Linked DNA regions of Oryzias latipes. The protein of the gene in region 3 binds, or shares a complex with, the protein of the main gene of each other region. Links are inferred from orthologs where the notes say so. Each region holds a gene or a part of one and is shown on either strand. Other genes may lie near its edges.

The links. Proteins that work in one complex are often made in the same cells at the same time.
Region 1: ddx46 (region 3) and sf3a1 share a complex: the UniProt entries of both Homo sapiens proteins name them as parts of the 17S U2 SnRNP complex. The link is inferred for Oryzias latipes from reciprocal best matches to the Homo sapiens genes DDX46 and SF3A1.
Region 2: ddx46 (region 3) and sf3b4 share a complex: the UniProt entries of both Homo sapiens proteins name them as parts of the 17S U2 SnRNP complex. The link is inferred for Oryzias latipes from reciprocal best matches to the Homo sapiens genes DDX46 and SF3B4.

Annotation. Positions count from the first base shown.
Region 1 is NC_019867.2:18,884,861-18,891,096, forward strand, and holds the start of sf3a1 (splicing factor 3A subunit 1), read right to left. Parts: upstream 3,980-6,236; 5' UTR 3,957-3,979; intron 3,846-3,956; 5' UTR 3,804-3,845; coding exon 3,756-3,803; intron 3,264-3,755; coding exon 3,154-3,263; intron 3,072-3,153; coding exon 2,867-3,071; intron 2,793-2,866; coding exon 2,535-2,792; intron 2,451-2,534; coding exon 2,376-2,450; intron 2,311-2,375; coding exon 2,160-2,310; intron 2,080-2,159; coding exon 1,883-2,079; intron 1,779-1,882; coding exon 1,661-1,778; intron 1,557-1,660; coding exon 1,249-1,556; intron 1,114-1,248; coding exon 868-1,113; intron 670-867; coding exon 471-669; intron 360-470; coding exon 205-359; intron 1-204. Other genes in the region: ccdc157 (coiled-coil domain-containing protein 157), read left to right, coding at 3,980-4,344, 4,482-4,632, 4,721-5,408, 5,492-5,569, 5,677-5,846, 5,985-6,161. UniProt on the Homo sapiens protein: Component of the 17S U2 SnRNP complex of the spliceosome, a large ribonucleoprotein complex that removes introns from transcribed pre-mRNAs.
Region 2 is NC_019869.2:7,215,133-7,221,354, forward strand, and holds the start of sf3b4 (splicing factor 3B subunit 4), read left to right. Parts: upstream 1-2,243; 5' UTR 2,244-2,303; coding exon 2,304-2,337; intron 2,338-2,928; coding exon 2,929-3,057; intron 3,058-3,142; coding exon 3,143-3,694; intron 3,695-4,173; coding exon 4,174-4,332; intron 4,333-4,522; coding exon 4,523-4,678; intron 4,679-6,222. UniProt on the Homo sapiens protein: Component of the 17S U2 SnRNP complex of the spliceosome, a large ribonucleoprotein complex that removes introns from transcribed pre-mRNAs.
Region 3 is NC_019872.2:3,745,507-3,751,110, reverse strand, and holds part of ddx46 (probable ATP-dependent RNA helicase DDX46), read left to right. Parts: coding exon 1-106; intron 107-233; coding exon 234-344; intron 345-434; coding exon 435-600; intron 601-1,327; coding exon 1,328-1,448; intron 1,449-1,535; coding exon 1,536-1,711; intron 1,712-2,876; coding exon 2,877-2,998; intron 2,999-3,434; coding exon 3,435-3,513; intron 3,514-4,287; coding exon 4,288-4,370; intron 4,371-5,507; coding exon 5,508-5,604. UniProt on the Homo sapiens protein: Component of the 17S U2 SnRNP complex of the spliceosome, a large ribonucleoprotein complex that removes introns from transcribed pre-mRNAs.

The sequences.
Region 1 (6,236 bases), on a different chromosome or scaffold from region 3:
TTTGTTCAGTTTAAATAAATAATTATGCAAATGGTGGGGGAAAAAAATTGGTGAACCTTTGATTTCAATAATTATTCTGTTAACATTTAATAAAGCCTTGTGCACCAAATTTTGCTTTTTGAACAGTATAATAAATAAGCCAGCGGAGTTTGTTGGTTAGAAATTCAGCCCAGGGTATTTCTGCAATTCGTCATCTCAGCAGACCTTGTTTCTACGAAGGAACTCCTCCTCTGGCATGAGGTTATCCTCCGTTTTCATCTTCTTGCTGGATGGCTCGTCTTCATGCGGTGGGGGTGGATGGTGGGGGGGAGCTGGAGCAGCGCTTGGAGGTTGAGGCATTGGAGGAGCGGGAACAAATGCTAAGAAAGAAAGAAAAAAGATTATGGCAATAAAAACATAAATAAAAGAATGTGGTTCTAATGCAGCCTGACACAAAAAAAACACTCTAGGTGTGAAACTGCTCATCCTACCTGTAGGAACAACCATGGGAGGTGGTCTGGGGGCCATGACATGAGGTGCAGACGGTGGCATAGGAACAACGTTGATGCGTGGGCCAGGAATCATGGGAGGCATTGATGTGAGAACTTGGCCTGGGGTAATGCGCACCACAGGAGGCCTTGGAAGCACCGGCACAGCAGACAGAAGAGTGGTCCGCACCGGAGGGGCCATCTGTTTGCCATCAAAAGAGAAAAACAAGTTCCAGGAAAGGGAAGGTAAAGTTTAGTTATCAAGCAGTGAAACAGAGAAGAAAGTCTAGGTCAAGGAATTCAAAAATATGTTTGTGCCTCAATTGCCCAGAGATCTGTTTGTGCACAGAAAGCTACATTAACGCAACACAAACTTAAGTCCTTTCAGACGGACACTTACAGAAACAGGGGGTCGAGGCACAGATGAGACTGGGGGGCTGGGTTTGGGTAAGTTGACTGCAGAAGAGGGCATGGGAGGCTGATGATTTTCACTTGGCTTGTTTGGACCAATCTTCTCTTTAGTGTCATCCTCTCCAACCAGGCCTTTGGCCTTATGAATAGCTTCGATCTGCTCCTGTAGAGTGATGTTGGCCTGCGCTGCCTGCTGGGTGCGAGCCATGCTTCCAGAGTGGCCATCCCAGGTAACCTGGACACGTCACAAGAATCCAAAAAGTTCAGACAAAAGTTGAACGCGTATTCACAAAAAATCTATCAGGTTGATAAAAAAACGAGTTCAAATGATGCTTTTCACAAAAACCATGCTACTTTCTACGGAACTCACCTTCTCCTCTGGCTTCTGGATTTCCTCTTCACCAATCTTCTTACCAATGGCTGTCTCTTCAACACCAAAGATATCAGTACGCCTCTCAGCGAGCTGCTTCAAGCTGCTCTCGATATCCAGACCAGGAGCATAGACTTCATCCTCTGTCTGTCTATCCCTGATGCTGCGGTCTCTTTGTTCCAGCCAGCGTGGGTCCAGCAGACCAATGCGCATGTGCTCCTGCATCTTGCTGGCTGGGATCTTCTCACCAGTGATTGGTGAAATGAGGTACTCATCTGGAGCTGCAACTGAGGGCATAGGCTTGGAGGCTGTGAAAAAAAAAAAAAAAAAAGGAAACAAGTTTTAATGCACCGCTTGTTTTATTTGCTTGTTTTTATACTTCATAATATTTCAATCACAGAAAAAAATGTACCTTTGGGATCATAGTCTTTTCGAATGATGACGTGGTCTGGAGTCGGGGGCAGAGGAGGTGGCATGGGGTTGTCAGGTGGAAGTGGAGCTTTAATTCCATCGTCCTCATCATCTGATCCCTGGAGAAGTAGCATTTTAAATTTGTGAATTTGCTACACAAGTAACCAAGAAACCTAGACAAGTGTTGGACTTTGTATAAATGTAGTAAATGATAACTGTTTACCTCATCCATGTCCTGCACTTGTGTGTCTTGGTCAGGCTGTGAGGGTTGACCTCCGGCTCGTTTCTCCCGTTCATCCTCTTCATCCTCACTCTCAACTTCCATCTCCACCTCCTCACTTTCTCCATACTTCTCATAGCGCTCCTGGATGAGGATTCGAGCACCAAGCTCCTCTGGAGTGGTAGGTGGGGGGAAGTGGCCTTGGAAAAACACCAAATGAATAAATTAATAACTATGGTTCTTGCAACATCTGGACCTGGTGTTCCTATAGTCATGCTACCTTGTTCATTGGGCTGGAAGTCCACAGTCTCCACCACGACAAAGTCATGCCAGTCAATTTGAGCATAGGCTACGCGTTCCTTCTCTCGCTCCTCTTCCTCCTTCTTTCTCTCACGCTCCTGGTACTTTGCCCACTCAACACGGTATCTCACCTGATGTTTGTAACAAGACAGTTTTAAACATAGAAAATAATCTTCTGAAGGCTAAAATAAATTACCTGGTCCATAACCTCCTTTGGATTCTCAGCCTCTCTCTTTAGTTTGGCCAGCAGACCCTTTGGGGGGATCAGAATCTAAAGGTTGAGGCAACATTTAAAAAAGTTCAATAACACAGTTTCAATAAAAAAACAAAGAAAGCTGTAATTTTTGTCCTTTACCTTGGTATATTGTTCCACCAGTTTTGTGAAGTAGTTGAAAAGGCTGTGCTGGGGTCTCAAAAAGTCAAATTGGTAGTTCCTCTGTTCTTTTTGCATGAGCTGGGTGAGAAACTGACGGCCGTTTCGTGCAACAAACTGGGCAGTGAGCTTCACAACATCAAGATCGAATGCAGAGATTGATGGAGGATCAGCTATGAATTCAAACTCTGGAGGCGGTTCTTTGGGGACCACAGTTTCCTGAATCACCTGGGACTGCACCTGATGAAGAAAAGGCAAGTTTGTATAAATATAAACCCTTGTAGGTCCGGGCACAGTAAATAGACAGTCCTTACTTTTTGTGGAAGCTGCTGAGATTGCTGCATAGCCTGCTGCATAACCTTGGGCACTGCGGCGGACGGTTCTTGAGCTTTGCCCTCCTTAAACTCATTGACTTTGTGGCGGTAGTAAGCATGGTAGGGATCGTTGGGGTTGAGGAAATTAAATTTTGGATTGTTGATCTCATTCTGACGGATTCTTGCTTCAAACTCAGGCCCATTCCTGTAAAGTGACAAGTATAGAGTCAAACTACAGATAGCAAACACCTCTTACAGCTGTACGTGACAGTTCTTTGGCAACCAACCTGGCAACAAAGCTCGCAGTCTTGTCAACTATATTACGGACCTCAGGAGGAGGATATATGATGCCAACAATAGGTTTAGTGGCTGGAGTTTCCTCCGGAGGTGTATCATTCTGACAAGAGAAGGTTCAAAGTAAGAATATTTATATTTAAAAATAACATCAAGTACAGTGAAGTTCCTCCTTAAAAATATTATTACACAAACATTATCAATTCACTTATTAATTAATAAGACTTACTTTAGGTAATTCTAAGATACACTGCAACAATTTAAACATTAAACCACTCGATCATTAAAAACCTGAGAATACAACTAACACATTTAGTCTAAACCATATGCAAAGATACCAAATATTGAAGTGCAATCATAGTTTAAGTAATATCTGTTACCTAATTTTATTGACTTTCTCAACTTGGGAATTTTTAGGGCCACACATATAGACGCAAACGTTGCCCCATATGTTTTACAGCTTTATAAACATTAGCATTTAATTTTGGACAGGCTTAGAAAGCTTTGCATAAAGGGGGCGAATTTTATAAGGCGATAAATCATTAAGAAAAGCGACGGATATCTGAGGCTAATGTTAGCTAGTTAGCGTCCTTACCTTGTTGTTAGGCTCAGGCTGAACCATTTGAACAGGCCCGGGCGGCATGGCTGCGTCTTTTTAACGAATCACCAATTTTACCTGAAAACACTAAAGCAACACACATATATTTTGAAATGAATTCTTTAAAAAAAATTCTGTAAGTCAAAAAGTAATAGCTAATACAGCTATAATTCTTTATTTGTCGACGTTAATACTCACCGCGTCTCGTTTTCGTTAACGCAATGGCGGCCAATTACTTCCGGAAATATCCGCTAAGAACTGTGGGACTTGGAGTTAACTGTTGCCAAGGAGACCTCACGTCAACAAGTACTTATAGGCGCCAAATAAGCGTTTTAGACATGAGTTTGTTGTTGGGTCGTCAGGATTCTATCAAGAATCTAAGAAAAGACCTCATCGATATTCAGGGTGCGGTTCTGGACGTGCTCTCCAGAACAGGACCAGTCTGCGCTTCCTCCTGGAAATTCCCGGACAAACTTTCCTGTCATCTAGACATTGTTGCTTTGTTGGAGGAATATGACTTCGTGGCAGGAGAAGATGACTTCAATCAGCATTCCCACATTATTCTCCTGGAATTGATGATTGACAGGTAACCTAATGTTGTATTGCATGTAAAATATATATATATATATATATATATATATATATATATATATATATATATATATATATATATATATATAATGACTTTAAAAGCATCTCTGCATGTTCTTGTTCCCCAACAAGGCTCCTGTTTCTTCTTCAAAGCGTCAGCGTTTATGCTGAACAACAGATGGGGGTCCACAGACCAGAAGGAGCTGCACACAGAGGCAGCATGTCAGTTGGTCTTGTGGTCAGGAATTATTGGGGGGATTTACTTCAATTTGCAGATAAAAAGGTAAAGAAACCTCTTTTTCTAGTAATGCCACAGGGATAAAAACACATGCAAAAGTATTTGACTTTAAATGCCTTTTATGTCTTTTTAGGAACTCTTCAAAAACATTGCAGAAAAGACAAATTCAGTGGAATCTGATGAGTCAAACGTCGAGTCCCCTCTCAATAGATCCAGCACAAGTTGCTCCAGGCATTCTTCCATATCCTGGTCTTCCACAAGCTCATTTAAATTCCTCCCACAAAATAACATCACCATCAGTTCCCCCGAACAAACCTCATTCCATCCTAAAACTGCCTCCCATAATGTCAGCTGCCAGACTGCACAAACGTCCCTCATCCCTTGTGGTACATGTCACCAAGTGCAATCTCTTTTGAGAAAAACTGGAGAATCTTTGATAGATCTGTTTCAAAGTGAAGGTCTACCCTCATCTCTGCAGCCTCTCTCAGCAGTTGTGGATGAGACAGTGAGGGTGGGACATCTGACTCCAGGTGATGTTGCACAGTGGGCCAATGAACAGCTCAGAGACATGCGCAGGCTGGCAAAACACCTGCAGGATGTGAGGGGAACGGTACTGCCCCTCCAAGACAGAGTAGCAGCAGCTGAAACGGATCGTGAGGCCATCAGATCTCAACTAAAAACAGTGCAGAAGGATTTTGAACAACAACTAGAAAAACAGCAAACAAATATAGAACAACTGGAGTTTTCACTGCAGGAAGCACAGAGAAGCGCAAAGCAAACTGAACAAAAGCAACAGGAGGAGCATAAACAGCTTAAAAAAGGTATTAATCACATTAACCAGCACAATAAAAACAAGTTAGGATCATGTTTAAACTTTTTTGTTTTTTCAATTTCTTTAAAACAGAAATCCATTCTTCAGAGGAGACCAATGCTAGACTTAGGGAGAAGGTAGCATTGCAGCAAGACACCATACACACTCTAGGTAAAATAGCCTAACTTCATTTGTTTTTATCATTTTCATAGCAAAAAAACGTTTTTTTCATAAAATTGCTGTGTTACTACATAACAAATCTTTGTCCTCCTTCTTAGAAAGTGAAAATAATTTTCTGCAAGTGAAAGTAAAAAAACTACAAACAGACCAGGAGGCATGTTGTCAACAGCAGCAAAGGATCCATCAGCTTGAGGAACAACTCTCTGACATTCAGCTGCTGCTTGATAAGGAGAGGGCCAAATACCAGAGTGCTTGCCGTCAGCAAGAGGTCTGTGTCTCAAAAAGAAAAGAAAAATCTATAACTACATGTTAAATCAGCTTGAGATGTTGAAACCTCAAATCGGTACCCGTTAAGAAGAAATCTGAATATAGATTTTGATGTTTTCTTGCTTTATTTTGTGTCTAGTCAACACAGGTAAAGCAGAAATCTTTGCTAAAGAGGGTTGAAGATCTTGATGAAGAGTGTGAAGAGCTGAAGAAGCAGCTGGTGGACAGCGAGGAGGCCCAAATGAAGTTAGACAATGAACTGCAACAGATGTCAGACGAGAAGAAACAACTGCAGGTTCAGACTGCTCAACAGCAGGTAGAATAAAATCAAATCAAATCAAACTAGAACATTCTCAATTTACAGGTTTGCCCACAAAGATAGTTTTGTCCT
Region 2 (6,222 bases), on a different chromosome or scaffold from region 3:
AGACCGGCCACTATTGGAAGATGTACGGTAAGCATTGTACTGGCATCCTACCGCACTTATTGTATTTTCCGCAGTATAGGGCGCACCGGTAATGAATGGTCTGTTTTCGAACTTTTGCAATATATAAGGCGCACCGAAGACAAAAAAGTCAGAGATAAGGCCGTCAATCTGTCAGACTCAAGACGTTCGTAACTCGATACACATTAGCCACATTAAAAGAGTTATTCCCATTACAATAACACGCAACGTTGTTTTCAACACATAAAAAACAGACTGAAACCGCTAAAACAGACATTACTGTGACTACGCTAACTCCCAACCTTGTTAGAAACGCACCAAAACCGCTACATGTTAGCTGCGTTAGCATATTCACACTAAACCATAACCAAATATTTTGACAGAGTGCCGCGTACCTATCAAAATTGCTTCGACATCAATAATCGCTACCAGAATCAATAGAAGGCCCTATTTTGAAAAAAAATATTGATGCTTTTAGGTCCACCACATAGTGCAGAAAATATGGTACTTATCCCGTGTACACCGTGTGTGCAGCATTTGTGTGCAGTCAATAAAGAGCTAGTATTCGCAACTTGCTCATGACAAGAGTGCAGCGTTAGGGCACCGTATGACGCACCACCTACATGTCATGTATGTGTAACTTCACTAAACTCCTACAACACCCATAATAATAGTACATTCCCTTTCACGACGTCCTTCTCTACAACCCTCCATGGTCCTGGACAACCTAAAAACAGCCGTACAGTTTTAACCGTACAGGTGAACGCAGGACTAAGGCTTTACTGATGCCTGCAGCAGCTGCTCAGGTTTAACAAGAATTAGATGGTAATCTGTCATCATGTTCCTTTTGTCTATTGTAGACTTCATTGTATGTGGTGAGAACACCAGCAGCCGAATGTATGCTCTGTGTCACCGACAGAAGGACCTACAATGCTGCTCTGGTATGGATTGTGTTTGAAATGTAGATGGATCAGGATTCAGTGTTGGTTAGAGGTACAATAAGAAGGTTAGAAAAAGGAGTTTGGAAAGTTTCTGAGCTGCTTTTCCTTTTTTGGTTTGAGATACCACAACTTTACATTGAGAAAATAAAATACAACCTCATAACACTTGTTGAAAAGTAAAAATCTTTATAGTTAGGCACCCTATAAACATGAAGGCAGTTGATCCGGTGGTCTTTTGAAGACGCTTGTGAATGCAGTTTATTGGACTGTCTCTACTTAAAAGATCAGTCTGGATTTAGGCAAATTAAACAGCAGGAGGGCTGGCATTTGTGCAGCACAATAAAAGTTTAGGAATTGGCAACATAAAATAACAGAAAATTATCCAAAAGACTGAGATTAAAGTCTACCATTTGGAATTGTGTTATGTTGATACAACTTTAAGAAAATAGGTAGTATTTGATTGTAAAACCTTTCAAAAACATCTTAATTAAAACTTTTTGGCCTTTACACTTCTTACATAATGGATCTGTAATTTGCTCAGTTACTTGAAACATTTGAAAGATTTCTAATGAGACTTAAAAGGAATGAACAGTTTGACTGAAATAAAAATTTGTTTTTTTCTGCTAAGTCTGTGACTCAAGTTGGATTAGTCAAAAGACTTTTTTCCTTTTTCTTTTCGTTTGATTATTATTATTATTATTTTTAGAAACAATGATTGCAATATCATAAGAGCCATCAAAAAATGATCTGAACATCTTTTTTATTAAGCTTTTGGAGACTTTGACCTATGTGTGTCCTTTTTGTTTCTTACTTTTCTAAATGAGCAGCCATTTTTAGCTCTTAATGTTCATTTTTTTTTAATGTAAAAGTCTCAGCTCTGTACACAAATGCATTTCACTTATGTTATTATTGATCAAGGCTTTTTTAACCCATTTTTATATATGCATTTATAAAATGAAAACATTGGCTTTTTGTGTTTTGAACTTTGTTGCATGACATGCTTTTTTATTTTATTTTGATACAGTATTGTTTTATAAAAATGGTTTTATTATGCCCAAATTGTATTTTGTATGAACAATTTGTATTCCATGTTTATACTTTTAGTAGATTTATATAAAAATGTATATAAATATGTAATAAATTGGTCCGTACAAAGTTTTGAACTTTATCTGGTCTTGTGTTTTTATTGTTCGATGCTATTAAAAAAATAATCTAAAACGAAGCAAAGATATTGTATTTTATTTTTTGAAAGAGGAGTTCATTTTATATTATAACTTCCGGTTTGCTGAACAGGAAGAGGCGGAGCTTCCTACATGAACGCTTCTGGTGCGTTGGTCATTCAACATGGCCGCGGGACCAATTTCTGAAAGAAACCAAGGTAATTTACGGAATTATTACCCATTTCTTTTGACATTTAGCCGTGCATAAATGTATGTAATGTGTAGTAACACCCAACAAGGGCACATTTTTCCTCATAGAGCGAATATGGATCCTAAAATTAGCTAATATTCTTCTGTTGAAACCGGGTAAACACATGGAGTGAAGCGGCTTTAGCCTAGCTTGTAGCTAATAAAGCCATTCTCCCAATTAATCGTTTATCGAATTTGCACTTTAGATGCACGTCCTTTTATATAAGCATTAAGCTGTGAAAAAACGTATACTCATTTCCATTGTTGCAAATCTATAAATAGAAAGAGAAAAAGCAATATTTTATGCCAGGAACTAATACTAAACAACTGCAACTTCTTTCATAATTTAACTTCAGTTCATTGACCTCATTTTATTCTTACCAGGCAGCATGATCATTAAATTTTTCACAGTTTCAACAATGGTTTTAAAAAGAACTAATGAAACTTTAAGTGAACATAAATATGGTCATTTCTTTTTGTAATTCGTATTCATTAACTTGTGTCAGAAAGTGGAAACCTTTGTAGTGTTTTACTCACCAAGCCTGCTCTTGTCTGTCCAGATGCCACGGTGTATGTCGGTGGGTTGGATGAGAAAGTGTCGGAGCCGTTGCTATGGGAACTCTTCCTGCAGGCTGGTCCTGTGGTAAACACGCACATGCCCAAAGACAGGGTCACGGGTCAACATCAGGGTGAGTGCACTTTCAGTTGGTCAACAAGATTGAACAATTATCTTCTTAGAAAATTATCTTTACAAAATTGTTTTTCTTTATTTAGGTTATGGCTTTGTGGAATTCCTCAGCGAAGAGGATGCTGATTATGCTATTAAAATAATGAATATGATCAAGCTCTATGGAAAACCCATTCGAGTCAATAAGGCCTCGGCACACAACAAAAACCTGGATGTGGGTGCGAACATCTTCATCGGTAACCTGGACCCAGAAATCGATGAGAAACTGCTCTACGACACATTCAGTGCCTTCGGTGTGATTCTCCAAACACCAAAGATCATGAGAGACCCAGACACCGGCAACTCCAAGGGTTACGCTTTTATCAACTTTGCCAGTTTTGATGCTTCTGATGCCGCCATCGAGGCCATGAATGGCCAGTACCTCTGTAACCGGCCCATCACTGTGTCGTACGCCTTCAAGAAAGATTCTAAAGGGGAGCGCCACGGCTCCGCCGCAGAGCGACTCCTGGCGGCGCAGAATCCGCTGTCCCAGGCGGACAGGCCCCACCAGCTGTTCGCTGATGCCCCACCACCTCCCTCTCTTCCCACCCCGGTCCTGACCACACTAGGAGCTGGAATGGGTATTCCGGGCATGGGAGGTGGGTGTTACGTCACATTTATGTGAAAATAGTTTTGTTTTTTTAAAGACTCGCTTTTATGAACATTGTCTTTTTGATGTATTTTTGTGGCATTTTTCTGATGATAGAGACAAAGAAAATGTAGCTCAAACTTGCATTTGACTGCAAACTGCAAAAATTAAAAACTGGATTTAAATCTGAAGCAGACAAAAAAAAAGGATTTTTCTGTAGTTTTACATAACTACTGCCATTCCGCAGAAACTATGTTCTAGAAAACAACACAGGATCTTTTGATTTTGGCTAAAAATGGCATCATCACCATCATCATTTTCATAAAAGACCGCTTTGAAAAAAGATCAAAGGATGATCAGTGTGGGACTTGTGTTTTGTGTTAGCCTAAACAAGTGTTTTTACAGATACAAATTAGCAATTAGCTGCAAAAATACAAACAAATGTACCCACAAGTCCTTCAAGTAGATTGTGTTGATTTGTGTGTGCAGGTCTGCCACCTCCTGGTGCCTTTCCCCCTGTTCCTCCCCCCGGATCACTCCCTCCTTCCATGGCCCATGGCATGGGGATGCCTCCATCAGCAGGTGGCCCACAGGGTATTGGCGGTCCAGGTGGACCACCACCCTTCCCGCCTGGAAGTATGCATCCAGGTGAGACATTGTGACTTCTTAAGAGTGGTTTTTGTCTTTCTGTCGGAGGAAATACAGAGGTTTTGAGCCTCAGAGCCGCGTTTACTTTGTTTGGCATCCGCATAAACATCTGAAAGTCAAAGCCTGTTCTCGTTTTAGTATCTAGTTTTTCTTCCCGCCACCTCCAGTTTGATCCGTTTCTGTCACTCAGGTATGCCTCAGATGCCCATGCACCCTCCCGCTCCGCCTGGCATGGTTCCACCTCCTCCTGCTCCACCAGGATCATCCCAACGCGCCCCGCCCCCCAACCTCCCCCCACCCCCGCCTATGGGCATGCCGCCCAGAGCACCATATGGACCCCCCATGGGTGAGTGTTATGACGCCTCTTCATGTCTCTGTCAAATAGAAAAAACACCTGAAAGGAAAAACGGCGTTGAAGGAAGTGTCAGAGTTGGCAGGATTTGGCAGAGACGCTCTGAAAGTGATGTAATGGGGGTTTGGTAAGGAACCAGGTCCGCCAATCATCTCAGTCACTGACTTACATTTATGAAATCACCTGTGCTTGTAGCATCCTAATATTTGAGTTGTTGATAAAGTAAAACTTCAAACAAATACCTACCTTTTCAAACTAAACTTGCTAATGAATTATTGTCAGCTGAATTAAGGATATCCTGATCAGATTCAGAGTCGTTTGGTTTTTAGTTTTGATTTGATCATTTTAGACTTAAACAGAGCACTTCAGTGAATAAGTTTGAACAATCGAGTAAAAATAGTGCAGCTTGGCCGTGGACCTCGTCTCGCGCCCCTAGCTGTCCCCCAGTTCTATCTGGATGAGGCCCGTCTGCTGGACTATTTAAACATCTAGTTGTAGATTTAGATAAGCTAATTCTTCTCTAGGAGTTCTGGTACGTCGCCTGTCCGTCCTGGCGAGAATCCCTACTTCATGTTGACACCCCTGCAGACTTTTAGCATAGTCGTTTTTGATCATAATTAGAATACAAGACATATAAGTTCTCTGATCCGGAAATAAAATCCGATTCACGCGATTCAGCTCCGCACATCCCTGGACAGATTTGCTAGTTTTAAAGCAGTAAATGGTTTTACAGCAGGGATGTGGATGAGTATTTTGAAAGAGGAGTGGCTGACATGTGGTCAGAGATGTATAAAGTTTAAAAAGTCCTTCTTACTTTACTGCAGTGGATTCAATTATTTTAGCTGCTCTAAAAATACTTAACTTTTTTACTTAATAAATGAGATGCTAATTCGGATCCATCTAAAGCATGGGTGTCATACTCATTTACACCGAGGGCCACATCTGCATAGCGGCTGTCCTCAAAGGGCCAGATATAACTTATACATGTAACTAAATGTAATGAAAAATAAATGTAACTACTCCTTAATGTTAAATAACTCATTATTTACTATAAATTTTTAAAGTGACAATTACAGTTGCATAGAAAACATGTTTGCTTGTTTTTCCAGCATAAATCCTTTTAAATTTGATTCTGTCAGGTTAGGTTATATGGACAGTGTTTAAGTCCTAATGTATAGTTGCCCTGTCTACACCATTTTTTTTATTTTATTTTAAGAAATTAAAAACTTTTATGATCTCGCGGGCCACATAAAATGACATGGAGGGCCACATTTGGCCCCCGGGCCTTGAGTTTGACACATGATCTAAAGGAACCCTTCAAACATAATCTGTTCCAAACTTTGGTCTCATTTCTTTTTCAACTGTGACTAAAATCAGTACAGTGACCTAATGACCTACGGCTTTAGTTTGACTTCGGCCTGGGCGAAAAATCGATTGAATCGATTCGAAATTTTTGTTACGGGCAGTAAGGCAAACGACAAACAACAACATCATAGCTCACACGGAACAACAAGCGACAACATGGCTACCGGTGAGAG
Region 3 (5,604 bases):
GCAGCAGGCGGAGGAGGACGAAGTGGATCCTTTGGATGCTTACATGGAGGAGGTGAAGCAGGAGGTGAAGAAGTTCAACATGAGTGACATGAAGGGAAATGACAAAGTGAGTAAAGTGTTTTCACGCTAACATTTTTCTTATTTATATTTTGCTGTTGGATAAGACGCTGTTTCCGTTTGGCGTCTGTTTTTCTTCTTCTGTTGGTGATATTTGTTTTCTTTTTTTCCCACAGAAAGGGGCGATGATGGTAACTAAAGTTGTGACAGTCGTCAAAACCAAAAAAGGAGCCGGCACTCACAAGAAGAAGGGCGAGCTGATGGAGAATGACCAGGATGCCATGGAGGTGGGTCGCCTTTAGCTGCTTTCTGCAGCCTTTCTCCAAACGATGACTGTGCTGGAAATAAACGGCCACAATTCTCCTGCTGTGAGACAGTACTCATCAGAGGAAGAGGAGGTGGACTTGCAGACTGCCCTGACAGGGTTTCAGACCAAACAGAGGAAGATCCTGGAACCTGTCGACCACGCAAAGATCCAGTATGAGCCCTACCGCAAAAACTTCTATGTGGAGGTTCCTGAGCTGGCAAAGATGACAACAGAGGGTCAGTAAGCCAAAGTTAAGATCCAAAGAAATGATCTATAGTTAAATGTATTTATTCACTACAAAGGAAGAAAAGTATAGGGGGGGGAATCATAAAGCAACAAGTTGGAAATTTTTTTAATCATTGCTGTCAGGTGTAGATGCTGGTCTAAAAGGGGCGGGGCCTGTCCACACTCACTCAAATGTTACAAACATGCCTGTTATCTCCAAAGATGTTCACATACAAACATGTACACAACACAACTACTGTTCACACACACACACACATACTTATGCATGCGGACCAACACGTGTGAAACATTTCATTCAGTCACGCAAACTATTTGTGCAAAGGTGAGCTCACACCTGCGCTCCAGTGAGTGTTTCTGTTCTGCTGGGGTGAATGATGGCAAACACGTCAACCCCCCAGACCAGGGCCAACAGGACCGCCACATGGGCCCCCAACGCCGAGATCACAACCAGAAGAATAGCAGCCCCAGACGAGCTGCCCACCACCACTCGGGGTTATGTTTATTTCATGTTTTGTAAAGCTGAAACCGTTTTGAAAGCTTCACGTTATATTTTGAAGGAGAAGTATATTAATGGTGGCATTCCTACGCCAATGTGTTTGGTAAACGCACCGGTGCGTTGGAGGACTTCTATGGGTTAAACGACTTCCTTAGTTGTTAGTTTGTCTTCATTGATGTTCCAGCTCACACGTGTGCTCGGTTGTTCTCCCATCCATGCAGAAGTGAATGCATACAGGTTAGAACTGGAAGGCATTATGGTGAAAGGAAAAGGCTGTCCTAAACCCATCAAGACCTGGGTGCAGTGCGGGGTGTCCATGAAAATCCTTTCCGCTCTGAAGAAGTGAGTTGATGTTTGATGCGATGGTTTACCAACCGTAAACACGCGTGACCAAACACTAGTAATACTTTTTCCTCACCAATCCACCAGGCAGGGCTACGATAAACCCACCCCCATCCAGGCTCAGGCCATCCCCGCCATCATGTCGGGTCGAGACCTCATTGGCATCGCGAAGACGGGCAGCGGCAAAACCATCGCGTTCCTGCTCCCAATGTTCCGACACATCATGGACCAGAGGCCCCTGGAGGAGTCTGAGGGACCCATCTGTAAGATCGTTTGCAACTTTTTGTTTTCTCCGCTGCTTTTTACTGTTGTAACTAGAAATGTCCCGACCCGATCACGTAGTTTCAGACTTCATCAGAATCGGATGTTGTATCTCGATCAGGGATCAGATATTTATTTTATTCTCCTTATTGTGATCAACACTAGACATTCAAATCTTATTATTACAGATCAATGCTCTGCTATAAGTCTGCATATCATGAATGGATCCCAACATTCTTTTGCCGTAAAGTGTAGCAGAAGAACACACTAGCATGAGCGGGAGGCGCACAAAAACAGTTCAGTAAAGGAACTGTAGAGTAGAGTCATACTTCTGAGATCAACAACTCTTCAATAAACTTTTAGAACTGACAGCAAGGGTCTCCGTAGGTTTGTGTTAATGCAAACAACCTTAAAGAAAGTATATTTTTAAATCTTTTAGATGAGAATAAACGCAGAGACAGCAGTGAGACAGCTGCTAAGGGACCGTTTACTAACTGCAAGCTCCAGGAAAAAGTGACAAAAACAACCAAACTTCATCAAATGTTACACTGACATAAGCTGGTCATGAAAACTCGTCATCATCTTTATGCTACAACCATTTTGGATGAAAGTCATTTATAGTTTTAATTAATTTGCATGTAAACAAGAATCTTAATTATAATAAAATGTTCAGTAGTTCTGAAGATACTAAACCTAAAGTCCCTCAACTTCTTCATATGACTAATTATCACCTAATCAACTAGTTAATCGTTAACTATTTTTCCTACTGAAAGTTGCTCTGTTTACTTGATTGTTAAAGCTATACTTCACTGAGACGCACTGTTTAAATATTAAATGATAAAAAATTAAAAAACATCCTGGATCTGTTCATATATAGCATTTGTTCTTTATTTTTTATGCATTTGATCAGGACTCTGTATCAGCAGAAACTCAAAATCAAATGACTCTGAATGCAATCGGTGCCAAAAAAACCTGATCAGGACGTCCCTGACTGGAACCAACTGCAGTGAGATGAACTAAACTAGAACCAACGTTCTTCCTGTTTTAACAACAATTCTTACTGCTTGTAGTGAATAGTTGATGACAGAATTGATAATAAATATTTGTACCTCATGTAAAGCTCAAGGCTTAGGAATCCACTCATGTGTTGTTCTCCGTCTGCTGCAGCTGTGATCATGACGCCGACCAGAGAGCTGGCTCTGCAGATCACAAAGGAATGCAAGAAGTTCTCCAAAGCACTGGGACTCAGGGTGGTGTGTGTTTACGGGGGCACAGGCATCAGTGAGCAGGTGAGATATTCAGTATACTACATGAACCCATATTGATCTACAGTAAAGCAAAAAATGCAGTTTTTGAATTTTTAAGTCATTCTGAACATTGGGAATGTTTGCAATGTTGGACTGCAAATCTTCTCATAATAACGGATTTTTTAGACTGATTTGAAATATGTTGTTTTGGAATAAAAAAAAAATTTCTGAATATATTTATTTTATTGAAAAATAAATAGTCAAGGCAGTGAAGCAAAGCTTTGATTTTTCGGTTTAGACTTTTTTTTTCTGGGTTCTTTAAAGGAAGATCTCCGTAAAGATGGACAGAACATTTAAGTCATTAAAGTTGCAGTAACTTAATCAGGATTGCAAAAAAATAGTATAACACAAAAATGTATGAATGTAATGAGTATTGGAAGATTCTGAAGACCTCAACTCTGTGGTTGTTACTCCTCAGATTGCTGAGCTGAAGAGAGGAGCTGAGATCATCGTGTGCACCCCAGGAAGAATGATTGACATGTTGGGGGCCAACAGCGGTGAGTTTGTCTGCCTGTATCCCCCCATTCAAGACAATGTCACTGAAAGAAGACAGTTTGAGAGCTTTTTAATTGGTTAAATGTTGTAGCATGATTATATTTCAAAACCGTACCATTTACTAAACTGTTGACGTTGTTTGACCGCTGGAGATCAGTCGATCTACAAGATCCTGAAGATCAGGGCCAAGCACAGGTAGGTGGGCTGGCGCTGCTTTCCACGGTTTCATCCAACCTGCAACGCTCACTAAGTCTACACTGCATCACCGTTATACCTTCAGCATATCTGCTAGCTGAGCTTTGTATCGTGTCGTGATAAATGTGGTTTTGGGCTCATGAAAGCCGCTGATTCTCACTTGGACTGTGGGTTTAGGAAAGCATCCTCTGCTTACGTTTGTCAATGAGGAGGTTGCTCTGGTTTCCACACATGCGAGGTAATCTCTAATATGTTTCCCTTGTAGGTAAAAAGGCGCTCGGTCAGGTAATGCTTGATGGGGCGCCAGCTCTTGTATTGTCTTGAGGCTGTTTTCTGACATTTACAGGTCCGTCGTGCCCCTAAGATGGTACGCAAGAGCAGAGAGAAGCCAAAAAAACAAAACACTTCACAACTGCAAATAGATTAGAACCCCACACCTGAGGGAACATTTGTTTTGATAAATAATAGACTGACGAGCATCTTAACAAAAATATATAGTTGAAAATTTTGGAAAAAGCTGTTTGTGTGGCTTTTTGTTGAAGGTGATGGATTTCCTCCTGCTCCTTTTTCTTGATGTGTAGGTCGGGTTACCAACCTGCGCAGAGCGACCTATGTGGTGTTGGACGAAGCTGACAGGATGTTCGACATGGGGTTTGAGCCCCAGGTGGGTGTGGCGCCACTTTACCCGTTTTCTCACCATTTTCCTCTTTAGGCCTGCTAGCTCACTTTCATGTGTTTGGATGGTACTTTATCCTGTATTTGTGAAGACACAAGTGAATTAACAAATACACTAACCTGCCCTCTACATAGGGATGCGGTACCAAAGCCGGTACCATTTGGTATCGATGCCACGTCCATGTTTTTACCGGACATATAAGTTTCAGCCTTAACGGTATTTCTTAACGGTACCGGCATAGTGGCGTTGCAACAGCCCCGACATGGCCAACACTACTTTGTTTGGATGTGGGTTAGTAGAACTGGCCGTCTGTCTCTCTCTTCTCGCTGCTTTTTGGGGAGGGGCTTCTCCCGCCGCACGTGCTTTCACACACACATAGTCCTGCACTAACGGTGACAAAAACCGCACGTGGACGGCAGAACAGCCGCGAGCAAAAAGGTCCAAAGTGTGGCTGTATTTCCAAAGTACAGAGGCTAAGAAGTTTTTTGTTTTTTCAGCCACAATTGTGCAAGGGTCTCACTTAAAGATGAGAGGTAGACCTCAACTATGACGGACAAAATGAAAAAAAGAAATACAGAAAATCACTGTCTGATTTTTAAAGAATTTTTGTGAATTATGGTGGAAAATAAATGTTTGGTCAAGATTTCTGGCTCTCACAGACCTGTAAGAGGATCCCGTGTCTTCCACTGGTTACCTGTATTAATGGCACCCGTTTGAACTGGTTATCTATAGAAAGACACCTGTCCACAACCTCAAACAGTCACACTCCAAACTCCTCTGTGGCAGAGACCAAAGAGCTGTCTAAGGACACCAGAAACAAAATTATTAACCTGCACCAGGCTGGAAAGACTGAATCTGCAACAGTACTGCAGCTTGGTGTGGTGGTATTATTACAAAGAGACCTTAATATTTATTGATCATTTTATTTTACATCAAAGAATGTTAAATTAACATTGTGTTTTAATCTTTCTAAAATGAAAGGTTTTCCTGTACACAGGTAATTTTTCTTTTCCCTCCTTGTTTTCACACAGAAAAGTATTGATAAGAAAAGCGAATCGATGAGCAGTATCAGTAACAGGAGTAGTATTAACATCTCAATGATTCCCATCCCCACCTCTACACCAGGTGATGCGTATTGTGGACAATGTACGTCCAGACCGGCAGACCGTCATGTTCTCAGCGACCTTCCCCAGAGCCATGGAGGCGCTGGCCCGCAGGATCC